Linked DNA regions of Astyanax mexicanus. The protein of the gene in region 1 purifies or fractionates together with the protein of each later gene. This does not show direct contact. Links are inferred from orthologs where the notes say so. Each region holds a gene or a part of one and is shown in the gene's direction. Other genes may lie near its edges.

Region 1 (7,410 bases):
TCTTATAATGGTTTCATTGGCTTAAGAGTTTACTGTGGCCAGCTGCTTTTTTAACATCACCTCCTTGTTTCTACACTAAGAGTTCATTTTATCAGCTCCACCTACCATATATAAAACATTTTAGTTCTACAAATACAGGCTTTGGTCCTGCTTTTATGCTTCCCTGTGTACTTTATATCCTCCTTTTACCCTGTTTTTCAATATTCAGGGCCCCACTGAACCACCACAGGCAGAATGCTGTGGGTAGCATTCTGTGGGCAGCATCCTGTAATCACTGACAAGGATGAGCAGCTAGACAGGGGTGTCCAACAGAGTGGGCAGTTAGGGGGACACAGCGTTTAAAACCTCCAGCAGCACTGCTGTGCCTGACCCACTTGTAACAGCACACCTCCACCATATCAGTGTCAATGGAGTGTTGATAATGGCCCACCCACATAAATCCTGCTTTGTGGTGGTCCTGAAGCATTAGGTGAGAGAAACAGAAAGAATACAGTCTATAACTGTACCAGTACAAGTAAGTAGTTGAAGTAGTTTGCATATCTTTACAGATGTATTATATATACTTTATATTTTACTTTACTTTTACTCCAAGACATTATGCAAACATTACTTTTGGCCAATGTGTGCATAAGAACATAGTCATGATCTTGATACAAGCAATTTTGCAGACATTAAATTTTTTATTTTATTTTTGCCACTGAAAATCGAGGTTAGATCCAAATTAGCAAATATAGGCTTACCAACATGATGCAGACTACGAAATGACGAAACAAGTTCAGTGGTTGCCTCATTTTTTTACACACAAAAGTACACAGATAACGGTTTACTGTAGAAAACGACTCTAAGAAAAACAGTGTTGTTATAAAACTGTATACATGGATAATTCGATAATTCACTTACATTAAATTAATTAAACCTAAATGTGACCAAAATAGTGTTTCAAGTTAGGTTACCAAAAAGCAGATGCCAAGCTAAGTTAATGCAAGCTAGCTAACGATAACTTAATTTGAGTAATATAAAAGTGGCAAAGCACACTGTTACTAAAGAAACTTCGTTTTCCCAAGTATGACCATTGCAAGGCAAGTTAATGACACTTTTAAAAAATAGTTTATTGCCTTCCAAAGTAGCTAGCTAGCTAATTAGCTATGTGTATATTGCCATCTGATGTGAAAAGGCAGTTATATTTGGCTTACAAAATCATGTTTTTAAATAAATATATAATAAATATCCTATAATAAGCTAGTAGAGTGTGAATGTCTGTGGTGGGAAAGCCTTAATTACTTTTCCACTGGAGCAAGGTTATTTAATGTCTCAGGCTTAATTACCTTTTTAGCTATATTAATTATTCAAATCAGACAGCCAAAGAGCAGAGTTTGTTCATTAATCGGTTCACGAGTTGATTTAGAAATCGATTTATGAGTCGTTTCGATATGTGTGCAAATCGAATTCAGCGATTTAAATCACTGATGTGAATGTTTTGTTATATCTGTGGTTTATTTGATGTCCTGAACATGTGATGAACATTAATTGCTTGTTTATTTTCAGGTTTAGTTGATTTGTTTAATGATTGGTTTTATTTTAAAGGTAGTCTATTTCTACCTTTTAAATTAAATAGTTTAAAAAATGATGCAGTTTATGTAAATGCCACGGGAATATTGGGATTTGGTAAAGCGAATTTAGAAACAAATTTAGAAAAGAATTTACTGCTGAAGCTTTTTTGAGAGAGGAGTGGAGGGATCTATAATATCTCTGTTAACTTTAACAGATTTGACGAGAGGTATAACTACTTAATTACTGTAATCTTAATGTAAATTTTATGAGCCTGTTACATAGTTTGTACAAAAAAAAAATAGGTGTTTATTTTGATGTGAGCAGACGTAAAACATATTAACAAACATACTCAAAGTATGAATACAGTAATGAAATACTTTTAAAAGTCTGTTTTTAAGGCCTGAGTCTGAGTAGTATCCTGAATAAGCTATGTGGTTGTTTGGTTTATGGGATGTATCATGTCGTACTGTTGTAAAATGACTGTTTTTGCTATTGTAATATGAGACATTAGAGACTCTACTGCTGTATGTATTGCTACTCATTCATCCAATAATTTGATCAAGTGGCAGCAGTGCACATAATCATGCAGATACAAGTCAGCTGCTTTAGGAAATCTATGGTAGGTATGGTTGAAGTCTTTTTTCTTGGTCAGACTAGACTATTTGATCCAGAGGCTTTAGACTACTTAATTTTGGAGGTTAAATGTCAACTTTGCATTACAAACTGAATTGTATATATTGTATAAAGTTCACTTGTTCATTTGAAGCTGTAGATATATACATTATATACACTCATTGATTTGAAGGGCCCCTATATGTGAATTGTATGCCCTGCATACTCAACACACCCCCTCTGCACTTTTGAAAGGACTTGTTAATCAGTTGATTAGTTGATTCAGGTGTGTTGGGAACAGGGTAAGCACTAAAATGGGCAGGGCAAAGAGCTTCTAGGGTTGAGAAATCCTGCCCCAAGCGGCTATTCCACTTGAAAAAGAAACAGTCCTGCTGAAAGAGAATAGAAGATAGATATTTTTTTATAGATATTGTTGTCTTTTTACCTTTCAAAAAATATGACAGGTCCTTAATTCATTGCAATGTTCTCTGTGTAATTTCAGCACAATAACTGAACAGTAGAGGGCGCACACGCACTTTAGTTTGTTTAGTGTTTCATTTACAGAGCTGTACTTCCTTACATCTAAAAGTTCACAATAAATTTTGAACTTTGTAAATTAAATCTCCAAATTAAATATTCGAATTTCATTCCCATAAACATATTAGAAAATAACAAAACAACTAACTTAAATATATTACCAGGCTGCATAAAACCTGAAATGGGAAAAACCAAATTTCTTGAAATTAAATAGTAAGACTTATAAAAAAAATAATTTATTCTTACTAGTAAAAATTAAGTGAGGTATTTCCTAAAAAATATAATTTAAAAGATCATTTCACTTTTTCTCTTTTTTTTACTCTGTAGTTATTATCTGTATATATAAGTTTTTAATTGAATCTATAACAATAATAGAATTCAACTATTGTGAAAACAGAAATAAGAGAATCAGCAGTCAGACACTAATAAAATACAAAAACGAAAAGAAGATAAGGCAGGCATAGCCAATAACAAAAAATATTTTAAAAAATTAAAAACAATAAAAAAAATGCAAAAAATTTAAGAGAATATCTCCCTAATCCATACAATAAGAGCTAAGACTACAATAAAAACTGTAACAAAATTTAGATATTTATAATTGGATTTTGTACTTTTCAATTTTTTTATGTGATCCCTAAATTAAAAGGAGCGGAATAATCATGACTCACTGAATTTATTTTACGTCTTATTTTTTATTTATTAAAAATTTAAACATGTACATACATAGCACTGTATAGCGTTTCATCGTAATTGACACCTATAGGATATAGTAATATAATTTTCCTGGGAGAAATACATGATTTAGAAATATGCACTATTCACAATATTCACAGCTTTTTTTTTGAGAGAGAATAATATTTTTATGTCTTTTTTTAGTGTCTTAAAATTTTAAAATGAAAACATTTTTTCAGCTGTAAACCGAAGACTTGATAACACATATTACATTTGCACAAATTTTTAATAGAAAGAATTAGTTAAATAAGAGTAAAATAAGGTAAATATTTCCTTAAAAAGAGGATTTAAAAGATTTTTTTTTTATTTTTAAAAGACTTTTTTTTTTAAATCTGTAGTTATTATCTGTACATTTATTTTTTATTTAAGCTATTACAATAGTAGATAATTGAGTTAAATAGAGTTAAAACATTTTGAAAACAGAAGTAATAGAATCAGCAGACAGACACACATTTTTGAAAGCATAATAGATTTTTATGCAATGTCTTAAAATGATAGGATAAAACACCTTTTATAATAGAAATATCAGTTAAAGAGTAAAATAAGAGTAAAATAAGGAAAGGTATATTTAAATGTATATATTTAAATAAATATTTAAATTTATATTTAAATAAATATTTCCTTTAAAAGAGGATTTAAAAGATTAAAGATGTTTAAGATGTTAAAAGCTTTTTTCTTTTTAAAATCTGTAGTTATTATCTTCTGTATATATATATATATATATATATATATATATATATTTTTTTTTTTTTTTTAAGTAATTACAATGACAGAACATTTTAAAAACAAAAATAAGAGAATCAGCAGCCAGATTTTATGTTATATTTAGCTTCTTTTTAGAATATATTAAACGTCTTAAATTGATCGGATAAACAACGTTTACTTCAGATGTGAATTAAAGACTCGTCCAGTCCGCGATTCGGTTCTCTCTAAAGAATCGGTTCATTAAACCTCCTCGCCGCGCGCAGGAATATGACGTCATTTAAAGTTTACATGTGCGGCGTGACCGAAAATGGCTGCTGGCGGAGAACAGCAGCAGCAAGCTCACCGACCCGGGCTTTACAAACAGAAAAACAAGCAGCACAAGCATGGCAAACACCGGACTAAAGGAGAGATCGAGCGGGAGAACAAGGGTGAGCTCGGGGCTTCAGTTCAGAGGGTTATTCTGGGGTTTAGACACTCCGGCGGAGCAGCATGGCTAACCTGCGACTAACACGTGTCTGGAGTTCAGGCATTTCTTACAGACCAGAGTAGAGAACATGGCTAACTTAGCTGGTTACAGCAGACACAGTTCATGGGATATGGTAGTGTCCATAACTATATTTTATCATATCTGCATTGTAGCAGTTTGAGCTTACAAACAGTCAGATAGCTTACCAGGTTAGCTATCTTGCTGTTTAACTACAAGGGCTGTTGTGTGGCAGCTCTGCTGTTGAATCCCAGAGACAGCTGGCCTGTTTTCTGGCCTGTAATTGAGTAAATGCAGTATCTGAACAGATGATTTTAAGTAGGGACTCAGGGAACAGTTTTCCCAGACAGGCATTAAGCCTGGCCCTAAAGAACCCATGGTGACATAAGATTTAAAGATATAAAGATTTTTTATTAAAATTAAAATGTAGTCTGTAACTAGGCTTAATCCCTGTCCCGGGAACTTACCGTGTAAGATTAATCTCTTAACACTGGCCTCAAATGATCCACTGTCCTACAACTCAGTAAGGACTTGTTAATAAGCAGATTACTTTGATCAGGTATGAAGAAATACTGTTTTATTTAAGCTGATTTTCAAAAATGATTTCATCCATCAGGCAGAGTTGCTGTCATGGCTCTGTCGAAAAAGCAGAGAAGAGAGTTAAAGAAGTTGGACCGTAGACATAAAGCCAACCAGCTGAGGCGCAACAAGAAGGACATGGTAAGAAAGTAATGAGATTCATCCTTTAAACTTCAAGTAAAAGTGTTTGTTATTAATGCTGTTTTTGTATTTTACAAGGTGCTGAACGAGAAGCGTCGTTTGGGCAGTAGAGATGGCCCACCTCACCTGGTGGCTGTCGTTTCCCTGCATGCTGCTGTGGACGCTGGAGCTGTGACGCAGATACTGAGAGGAGAGGGGATTGGAGGGGTGCTGCATGAAGACCAAGGAGTCAAAGGGGCTAAGGACAGTTTTGGCCTGGTCCTTCCTCGTTTCAAACAGAGATTTACTTTCTACCGCTCAGATACAGGTAACCCGTGGTTGTATAACTGCAAAAGAATGTTTGACTTGTTAAAAGAATAACCATATTTTACGCCTAAACTTGATCACACGTGTTGCACGATCCGAGTTTTAATGTTATATGTCTTTTATTTTTAAGTAGTTATGTGACAACAAAAGCAAAGGTTCAGACATGCCAAATGTCCATTTACCCAAAGAATGCTGCGCTGAGATGCAAGATACTCATTTGAGGCCTCCTGCAGTGAATATGGGAGTGATTGATTGTTCAGACAGTGAGCTCTAACCAGATGTCACCCGTCACCTGTACCATAAGTACCACTATTTGCTATTTATAGGTATATGTTTGAGTAAAATGAACATTGTTGTTTTGATCTGTAAACTACGGACAACATTTCTCCCAAATAAAAATATTGTCATTTAGAGCTTTTATTTGCAGAAAATGAGAAATGGCTTAAATAACAAAAAATAGGCAGAGCTTTCAGACCTCAGATAATACAAAGAAAACAAGTTCATATGCATAAAGTTTTAAGAGTTCAGAAATCAATATTTGAAGGAATAACCCTGGTTTTTAATCTCAATTTTATGCATGTTGGCATGTTCTCCTCCACCAGTCTTACACACTGCTTTTGAATAACTTTTGTGTCACTCCTGGTGCAAAAATTCAAGCAGTTCAGTTTGGTTTGATGGTTGTGATCACCCATCTTCCTCTTGATTATATTCCAGAGTTTTTTTATTTTATTTAGTGAAATCAAAGAAACATCATTTTTAAGTGCTCTCATATTTTTCAGAGCTGGTCATACAGAGCTGGTCATACATGACTATTGGGATTTTGGTGTATGTTAAATGGAAAAACACTGCCACACCCTTACTGTTACCATATCAGAGCAGAGTCTAGTATCAGTATTTATGGTTGAAAAGGCAAAACTACTGTACTCTGCTCAATTTTATTATCATTTGTATTATTATGTAATTATTGTAATCATTTAAAATGTGAAATGCAGTAATTCTGTATTAATTGCTTAATGGTTGCTAGCCTTTAATTTGTAATGATATTTCACTGTTTTTAGCTGATCTGCACTCTCTTCTGGATGTGGCGAAGGTGGCGGACAGTCTGGTCTTTGTGCTGGAGTCCACTGAGGGCTGGGACAGTTATGGAGATTACTGTCTGTCCTGTCTTTTTGCACAGGGATTACCAAGTCATGGTGAGTTAAAAGTCGGAGTCAGAGACTGTTTTTCAGCATTTTTCCTGCCTTATTTATTTTTAACATTACATAAATAACAGAGTTTGTTTTTTGGCAAGTCTGCATGTGCTTAGTGCTGTCTTCATTATTCAGCATTGGTTGATGAGGGAGGGGACGTTTTAAACATCAGTGTGCTCAGTTTGCCAAATCGGATCTGAGCAAAGAGTCCAAAGTGATTTAATGCACCTTGTAATGTGACCTTAGTCCTGGTACCTCTTTCTCTTTGAGCTGTATTTAGGTGTGGGATGTATGACGTCAAACACTACATGGCACTTCTTTGTCTTGCACCAGACTGCCTGCCAAAAATGCCATTGGTTTTTTGAAACAGGAAGATTCCCAGATCTTTGGATTGTTCTCTTTAGCTGTTTCTCAGAACAGGAAAAAAAAAAAAAAACTTTCTGTGATTCAACTTTCAGCAGTTGCACTTCAAATTGTTAGAGCAGCTTACTAGTAGAGGCTTTTAAGTGTTGATTTTTAAAACTCCTTAACTTATTTTTCATTCTAATTTTTAATTTTGCATTCTGTTACAGA
Region 2 (6,841 bases), on another chromosome or scaffold:
GTTCACTTGACTCCCTGAATATACTGAATATAGACCAGGTTATTCCATCAATGGATTTTTTCTTCCCTGTTGACACGGCCATATTCCAAGATGACAATGTCAGGAATCATGGGTCTGGAATTGTGAAAGAGTGATTAGTGACTACAAAACCAGACAGTTTAGTGAAACGTCTTTTCAGCAGACTGTTTAAGAACAGCATGTTTCATGTTCTGAGGCCATGGTGCCAATAAACAGCAGCAGCAGGAAGCTTCACTACTGAACTAATAAACACATCTTTAGAGCAGACATGCCCACTCAAACCTGAACTGACCAATCAGCTCCTTCACACGGGTATGAGAATAGACCTGACACAGTTTAATCTCAGATTTAAAGAAAAAGCACCAGTAAAAATCAAACTGCACTTTTTTAAGCTGTACTTGTTTACTTTTTTTAAGCATTTTAGATGCACTTTATCCAAAAGCAACACTGTATTTTTGTGGCCCTTTGTTTTTAGGCTACTTGAAGTGGGGGAAATGTTTTTATTTATTTATTTATTTTTAGAATGAATTTATGTCATTTGAATTGCCTTACAGTTTGTCTTAGAAATGTCTTTTTGTTATTGACTTATGAGATGAAAAAAAAGTATATTACAGTGGTGTGAAAAACTATTTGCCCCCATACAGATTTCTTTTGTTTTTGCACTTCTGTCATACTTTCATTTTTCAGATTATCAAACAAACTTTAATGTCAGACAAATATAACCTGAATAAATATAAAAGCACTTTTTAGCTGATGATTTTTTTAGCTTCATGATTGAGACGCTGTGGGTGATCTTAAACAGGACGTTTATGCTGGAAAATCCTCCAGTATGGCTTTTTCACACAGGGCTAGATTGGTTTGTATGTTCACAGAAAATGCATGTATACAGCTCTTTAACTCTTGTTTTTGTTTCTGTTCTTTGTTCAGTACAACCTCACCATCAGCAGCAGCTGTAGAAGAGGAGGACTGGCTTTAAAAGGAGGCCTGCTCCTCAACCCTTCTGGCCCCACCCATGACCGACTGTCCAACCAGTCCTTTTCCTTCTCCTTTTCTAAATATCCAGTGAGAAGGCCACTAAAACTTCAATTGTGCTGCACTTCTGCTATTCTCCACCAATAATTAATGCTAATGAGCAAAGTTGCAGTGAACAGACGTGGGTTTTTTAACAAGCGTTTTAACAAGACAGGGACTGTTTTCATGTCATAACAGCAACGGTATGAGTGAAAATCTAAGTCAAGAAACTGGAACTTACATTTTGTCTGCACCTTCTAAGTTAACAAAAATTCTTCCAACCTATTGACAGTATTAACTTTACTGTTAAATGCTGCTGCTACTGCTGCGTTCGAGAACTTGGGGTAACGGAAAGCAAAGAAAAAATATATATACAGTATATATATATATTCTAACCAAACTAAACAAAACGGGAACTTCCAGTGATGAAAAACATTTGGCAAAAAAAAAAGGCAGATTAATTATTTATTTAACTAATCAAAACATGAGCCCCATTACACTTGACCGTTATAAAACTGTTAAGTTAAGGACTTTTACTTTGTAGATAATATAAATGAATAAAAAAATTTAAAAACATTAAAAAAAGTTTTAAAAACTGAAGCTGTCTTGCGTTTTGTCATTATTTTTGAACATCGTCTGTGGTTTTGACACAAAATTGAGATGCATGGCCCAAATTTGATTTTTTTTAAGTCATATCTGACACAGGTATGTTGTTTGTGTTGCTGTGTGAAGAGAATTGGATCTGACTTTTTCAGTTCTGATTTAAGCCACTGAAATATGGTATGTTCATGTTACTTTATTTTGATTATTCAACTTTATATAGAAATTTCTAAAAAAAAAAAAATGTACCACTACATTGATGTATTACACACAGATTGATCTATTGTAAGCGTTTGTTTCTTTTAATGTTGATGATTTCTGGCTCACAGTCAATGAAAACCCAATAATCAGTAAATATCAGAAAATTTTAATATTATTTTGTGCCAGTTTGCCTGCTGGACAATGAAATCTGCATCTCCATTAAAGTTGTCAGCAGAGGGAAGCATGAAGTGCTGTAAAATGTTCTGGTAGAAGCTGCGCTGACTTTGGACTTTAGTTATAATATATTTGACCAACACCAGCAGATGACATGACTCTGCAGACCAGAGACATCAGATAATAAAATAGTTGTTTTTTTTCCTTCTTCTACTTTAATGTGAAAGGACTCATATGTCAATGAAGGAGTTTTGTGTCTAGAAGGAATACCGAAGATTACAGAATGCTACATCTTTGTGTTCTTTTAAAACCACATTAAACCAAGGAAGCTTCAACAACACATTAGGGAATTAACATGATATTAAGCATTGATAATCTTTATAGAAATTTAGAACACTGTGTATCTACTTCTGTGTCAAGCAGCAAAATATTGTAACATGACATGTTTGATTTAAAGTGACTTTGCACGTCCTGCGATGTGACTATTGCACGTGCACACATCGCGATGACTACACTTAAACAATATATCGTGCAGTCCTAGCATTCAGCTCTCATCTCTGTCTGACCTCTGTATTGAGTAATAGTGAGAGGACTGGGCCCCCAGTGCTCCTCTAAATCCACCACTAGAGGACCTCCTACAACTATTTCCACAAACCTTCAGTTCAGGAGGTCTGAGTTCACACTTCACACGAGGACATTTAAACTCAAGTTGAGCAAAAGCTTTCCAACAATATGAAATTAATAAATATATAAAATGAATCTATAAGTGTGTATGAGGAATGAATGTATGAAAACTGCCCAGAAGTATTTTCCTTACTGCAATTAATTAAAAATACAGTAAAGTACAGGTGATGTTCCACAGCAGTACTGGCTAAATATACTGTGGACAGATGAAACCAAAATTTAGTTGTTTGGAAGTAACACACAACGCTGTGTGTAGAGTGAAAAAGGCACAGCACACCATCATCAAAACCTCACCCAACTGTGAAACATGGCGGCGGGGGCATCATGGTTTGGGGCTGCTTTGCTGGACGGCTTGCCGTCATCAACTAAAAAAATAATAATTCTCAATACATTTTACCAAGTTTACCAAGACATTTTGCAGGAAAACTTGTCCACTGACTGAAGCTCAAATGAGGATGGATGATGCAACAGGACAACGACCCAAAACAGAAGTAAATCAACAACCGAACGGCTTCAACAGAAAAAAAATACGCCTTCTGGAGAGTACTGACCTTAACCCAGTTTAGTTGCTGTGGCATCGTGACCTCAAGAGAGAAATTAACACCAGAAATCCCAAGAATATTTCTGAACTGAAACAGTTTAGTGAAGAGGAATGATCCAAAATTCCTCCTGACTGTTGTGCAGATCTGATCTGCAACTACAGGAAACGTTTGGTTTTGTCTGTTGGGAACCAAATGGGAGTCGGTAAAGAATCAGGTGAGATATTTACCTGTGCTATTGCAGGTCTGATCTGCAACTACAGGAAATGTTTGGTTGAAGTTTTTGCTGCCAAAGGAGGGTCAACCAGTTATTAAATCCAAAGATTCACATACTTTTTTCACCCTCACTGTGAATGTTAACATGTTGTGTTCAATAAAATAATGCAAACATATGTTGTGTGTGGTAATAGTTTACGCAGACTGTGTTTGTCTATTGTTGTGACTTAGATGAAGATCACAACACATTTAAGAACCAATTTATGTAGAACCAATTTATGTAGAACCAATTTATGTAGAGTTGAGAGATGAGTGAGAGTAGTGAGAGTACTCAGGGTACGCCAGTCCACTAGAGGGCGACTGTGAGCTAAGCCGCTGAGCGGCCGGGCTGCGGGACTCGTGTGTGTTCCTGCTGTTGACGGCGTGTTTGGGAGAGCGGAGGCCTAGCGGAGAGTTATTATTATCACTAATAATTCTGAGATCCGCTGTTCCTAATCTTTTGTCAGTATGGGGAAGCTGAATGTGGTGGTGCTGAGATATCTGTCCCGGGAGGATTTCAGGGTTCTGACCGCCGTGAGTTTAACTTTATTACAGACAGACTGTAGTGTTTAAACTGAACTGGTGAACTAGCCTCAGTCAGATGAGCTCAGATCTGTAATAATAATAATACAGTACAGTATTACTGTGCTGTAACTCAGTGTAGCTCAGTGTGTTGATCTGAATGTATTGTACTGTAATACAGGTGGAAATGGGGATGAAGAACCACGAGATCGTACCGATGAGCCTGATCTCCTCCATCGCCTCTCTGAGACACGGGGGCTGTAATAAAGTGCTGAGGGAGCTGGTTAAACACAAGCTCTTAGCTTATGAACGATCCAAAAGTAAGTACAGTTTATCTGTATATTCATTTATTTATCTGTATATATATTTATTTATTTATTTGTGTTTATTTTTATCTGTATATATTTTTATCCGTATATTTATTTATCCCTATAATTATTTATCTGACTATTTATTTATTCGTATGTATTTTTATCCGTATTTTTATTTATTTGATTATTTATTTATCTGAATATTTATTTATCTGTATATTTGTTTATCTGTATATTTTTATCTGTATATGTATATTTATTTATTCCTATATATTTTTATCTCTATATATTTTTATCCATATGTATTTTTATCCGTATATTTATCTGTATTTTAATGTATCCATATATTTATTTATCTGACTATTTATTTATTGGTGTATACTTTTAGCCCTATATATTTTTAGCCCTATATATTTTTATCCGTAAACTTATTTTTCCGTATATTTATTTATCCGCGTATTTATTTATCTGACTATTTATTTACCTATATATTTATTTATTTGATTATTTATTTATCTGAATATTTATTTATCTGTATATTTGTTTATCTATATATTTGTTAATCTGTATATTTTTTTATCTGTATATATATATATATATATATATATATATATATATATATATTTTATCTCTCTATATTTTTATCCCTATATTTATTTATCTGATTATTTATTTATCTGTATATTTATTTAACTGAACACTTATCTGTAAGATTGTCAGGTTGGTGAATTAAGTTAAATAAATTAATTTTATTTGTGTTTATAGCTGTGCAGGGCTACAGATTAAATTATGGGGGCTATGATTACCTGGCTCTGAAGACACTGTCATCCAGAGATGTCATTCTGTCTGTTGGGAACCAAATGGGAGTTGGTAAAGAATCAGGTGAGCAACTAACCTCATATCTGATCATTTCTACTGATGAGATATTCCAAGTTTTTAGTGACACATTCAGATACAAGAGCTTCTTGCATATAAATGGCAAGTGCAGTCTGTATTTTTTTGTTTCTAAACTGAAAGCAGAAGCATTTCTGAGTGGAGAAAGGATAAGATGTTGTGTTTAATGGTACCAGTGTGCTCAAAAGACCCTCCCTGCTAAGCCTAATATATTCATTCTAAAAACTGGGGCATCGGGTCACTTTCAGAGGGAGTTCTAAATGGCCACGTCATGCATCTTTATGCACTTATGTCACACGTTCAGCCTCTAAAAGAGGATCCGGCTCAGTTTTACTGAATGCGAGCGGCTGGTGGAGCAATGGAGACTTCAGAAGGGGAAACTCAGAGTTCAGTAGTTCATTCACTCAGTAAAAACAAAGAAACGAAGGAGTGAAGCAGGTTCTGAAGCCAAAAAGGAACACGATAGAGTCTGTGCTAACTGGGATTAATAGCGAATTTGCATTTGAACGGTTGATAAAGCTCCGTGACCTGAAAGGACTCTCTCTCTGACTGAACATAACCTGGAAGCTACATAACCTATGTCATCCTCTCTGAAAGAAGATCCCATCACACCCGCCCAGTTTACAATAATTCTTCTGCATGCTCTGTGCAATTACTCATTTTTACCAGAGAGGGCCCTAAATCCCCCAAATTCCAAATTTTACGGACATTAGCTTTAACAGCCGACATGCTGTTAAATGAGCATTTTTATTTTGCCGCTTTATTAAGAACAAAAAGAACAACGTTACTTTAAAATATTTTCTCTAAGCGTATTTTAGATAATATCAGCATTAGATTGACAAAGCGATAACTATGTTATCGACTTATCGTACGTAAATTTTTTTAACCGCAATAATTTTTGCCGACGTCGATAACAGCCATTGGGCCCTTGAGTTTACATGAGAACGAGTCGTGATGTGCGTCTCTCTCGCCGACAGCGACATCTATCGGTTAGGAAATGAGTGTAGCGGCAAGCGGAGCTCATCAGTGATGGCGTCTGCACACACGTGCGCACGCACACACAAACACACACACACACACACAGCAGAGAAAACTTGTGCTTGCGAACGTATTCGAGGACTTTCTCTTAACTAAACCACTTTAGAGAGCGTTAAGAAGGTTTTTTAGAAGTCCGGATGGTGCGGGAGTATTTTGGCTTTAAGCCAAATGAGCGAGGAGAACCATCGACGCGAATCAGTCGGTATGTTGACTTGTTTCAAAACAGTGGAAACGAAGCTGAGATCTCATTTAAAGCACAACCATACAGCCCAATTTTCCGAGCTGAATACTGAATATGAATATTGTACCCCAGAGAGATCCTGCCTCAAGCCCCACAGGGTGAACATTCTGGTGTTTCTTGCTCTGAATTTGTCTGACAGTTACTTTAAAAAATACATTTATAGCAAGAGCTTTGGGCTGCTGAACCATATCATATGGCCACTTGGTAAATGTTGTCACTATTTGTTGTTTAATATTTAGTGCAGTTTTCTCTGAGTCCAGAGTGCTTGTACTTTACTTGTTTTATTTATTATGGACATTAAAATATTTGTATATTGGAAGCCCAGTGTAAAAAAGTTTAACTGTAAACTGGTG

What was found. Proteins that work in one complex are often made in the same cells at the same time.
Region 2: the proteins of tsr1 (region 1) and riok2 fractionate together in Homo sapiens (co-fractionation; 3 studies listed by BioGRID and IntAct, with this or other methods). This does not show direct contact. The link is inferred for Astyanax mexicanus from reciprocal best matches to the Homo sapiens genes TSR1 and RIOK2.

Annotation. Positions count from the first base shown.
Region 1 is NC_064425.1:15,236,979-15,244,388, reverse strand, and holds the start of tsr1 (pre-rRNA-processing protein TSR1 homolog), read left to right. Parts: upstream 1-4,408; 5' UTR 4,409-4,444; coding exon 4,445-4,565; intron 4,566-5,237; coding exon 5,238-5,341; intron 5,342-5,419; coding exon 5,420-5,648; intron 5,649-6,705; coding exon 6,706-6,840; intron 6,841-7,410. UniProt on the Homo sapiens protein: Required during maturation of the 40S ribosomal subunit in the nucleolus.
Region 2 is NC_064429.1:14,110,288-14,117,128, forward strand, and holds the start of riok2 (serine/threonine-protein kinase RIO2), read left to right. Parts: upstream 1-3,823; 5' UTR 3,824-3,950; coding exon 3,951-4,016; intron 4,017-4,185; coding exon 4,186-4,324; intron 4,325-5,080; coding exon 5,081-5,197; intron 5,198-6,841. Other genes in the region: atxn2 (ataxin-2), read left to right, coding at 946-974. UniProt on the Homo sapiens protein: Serine/threonine-protein kinase involved in the final steps of cytoplasmic maturation of the 40S ribosomal subunit. Involved in export of the 40S pre-ribosome particles (pre-40S) from the nucleus to the cytoplasm.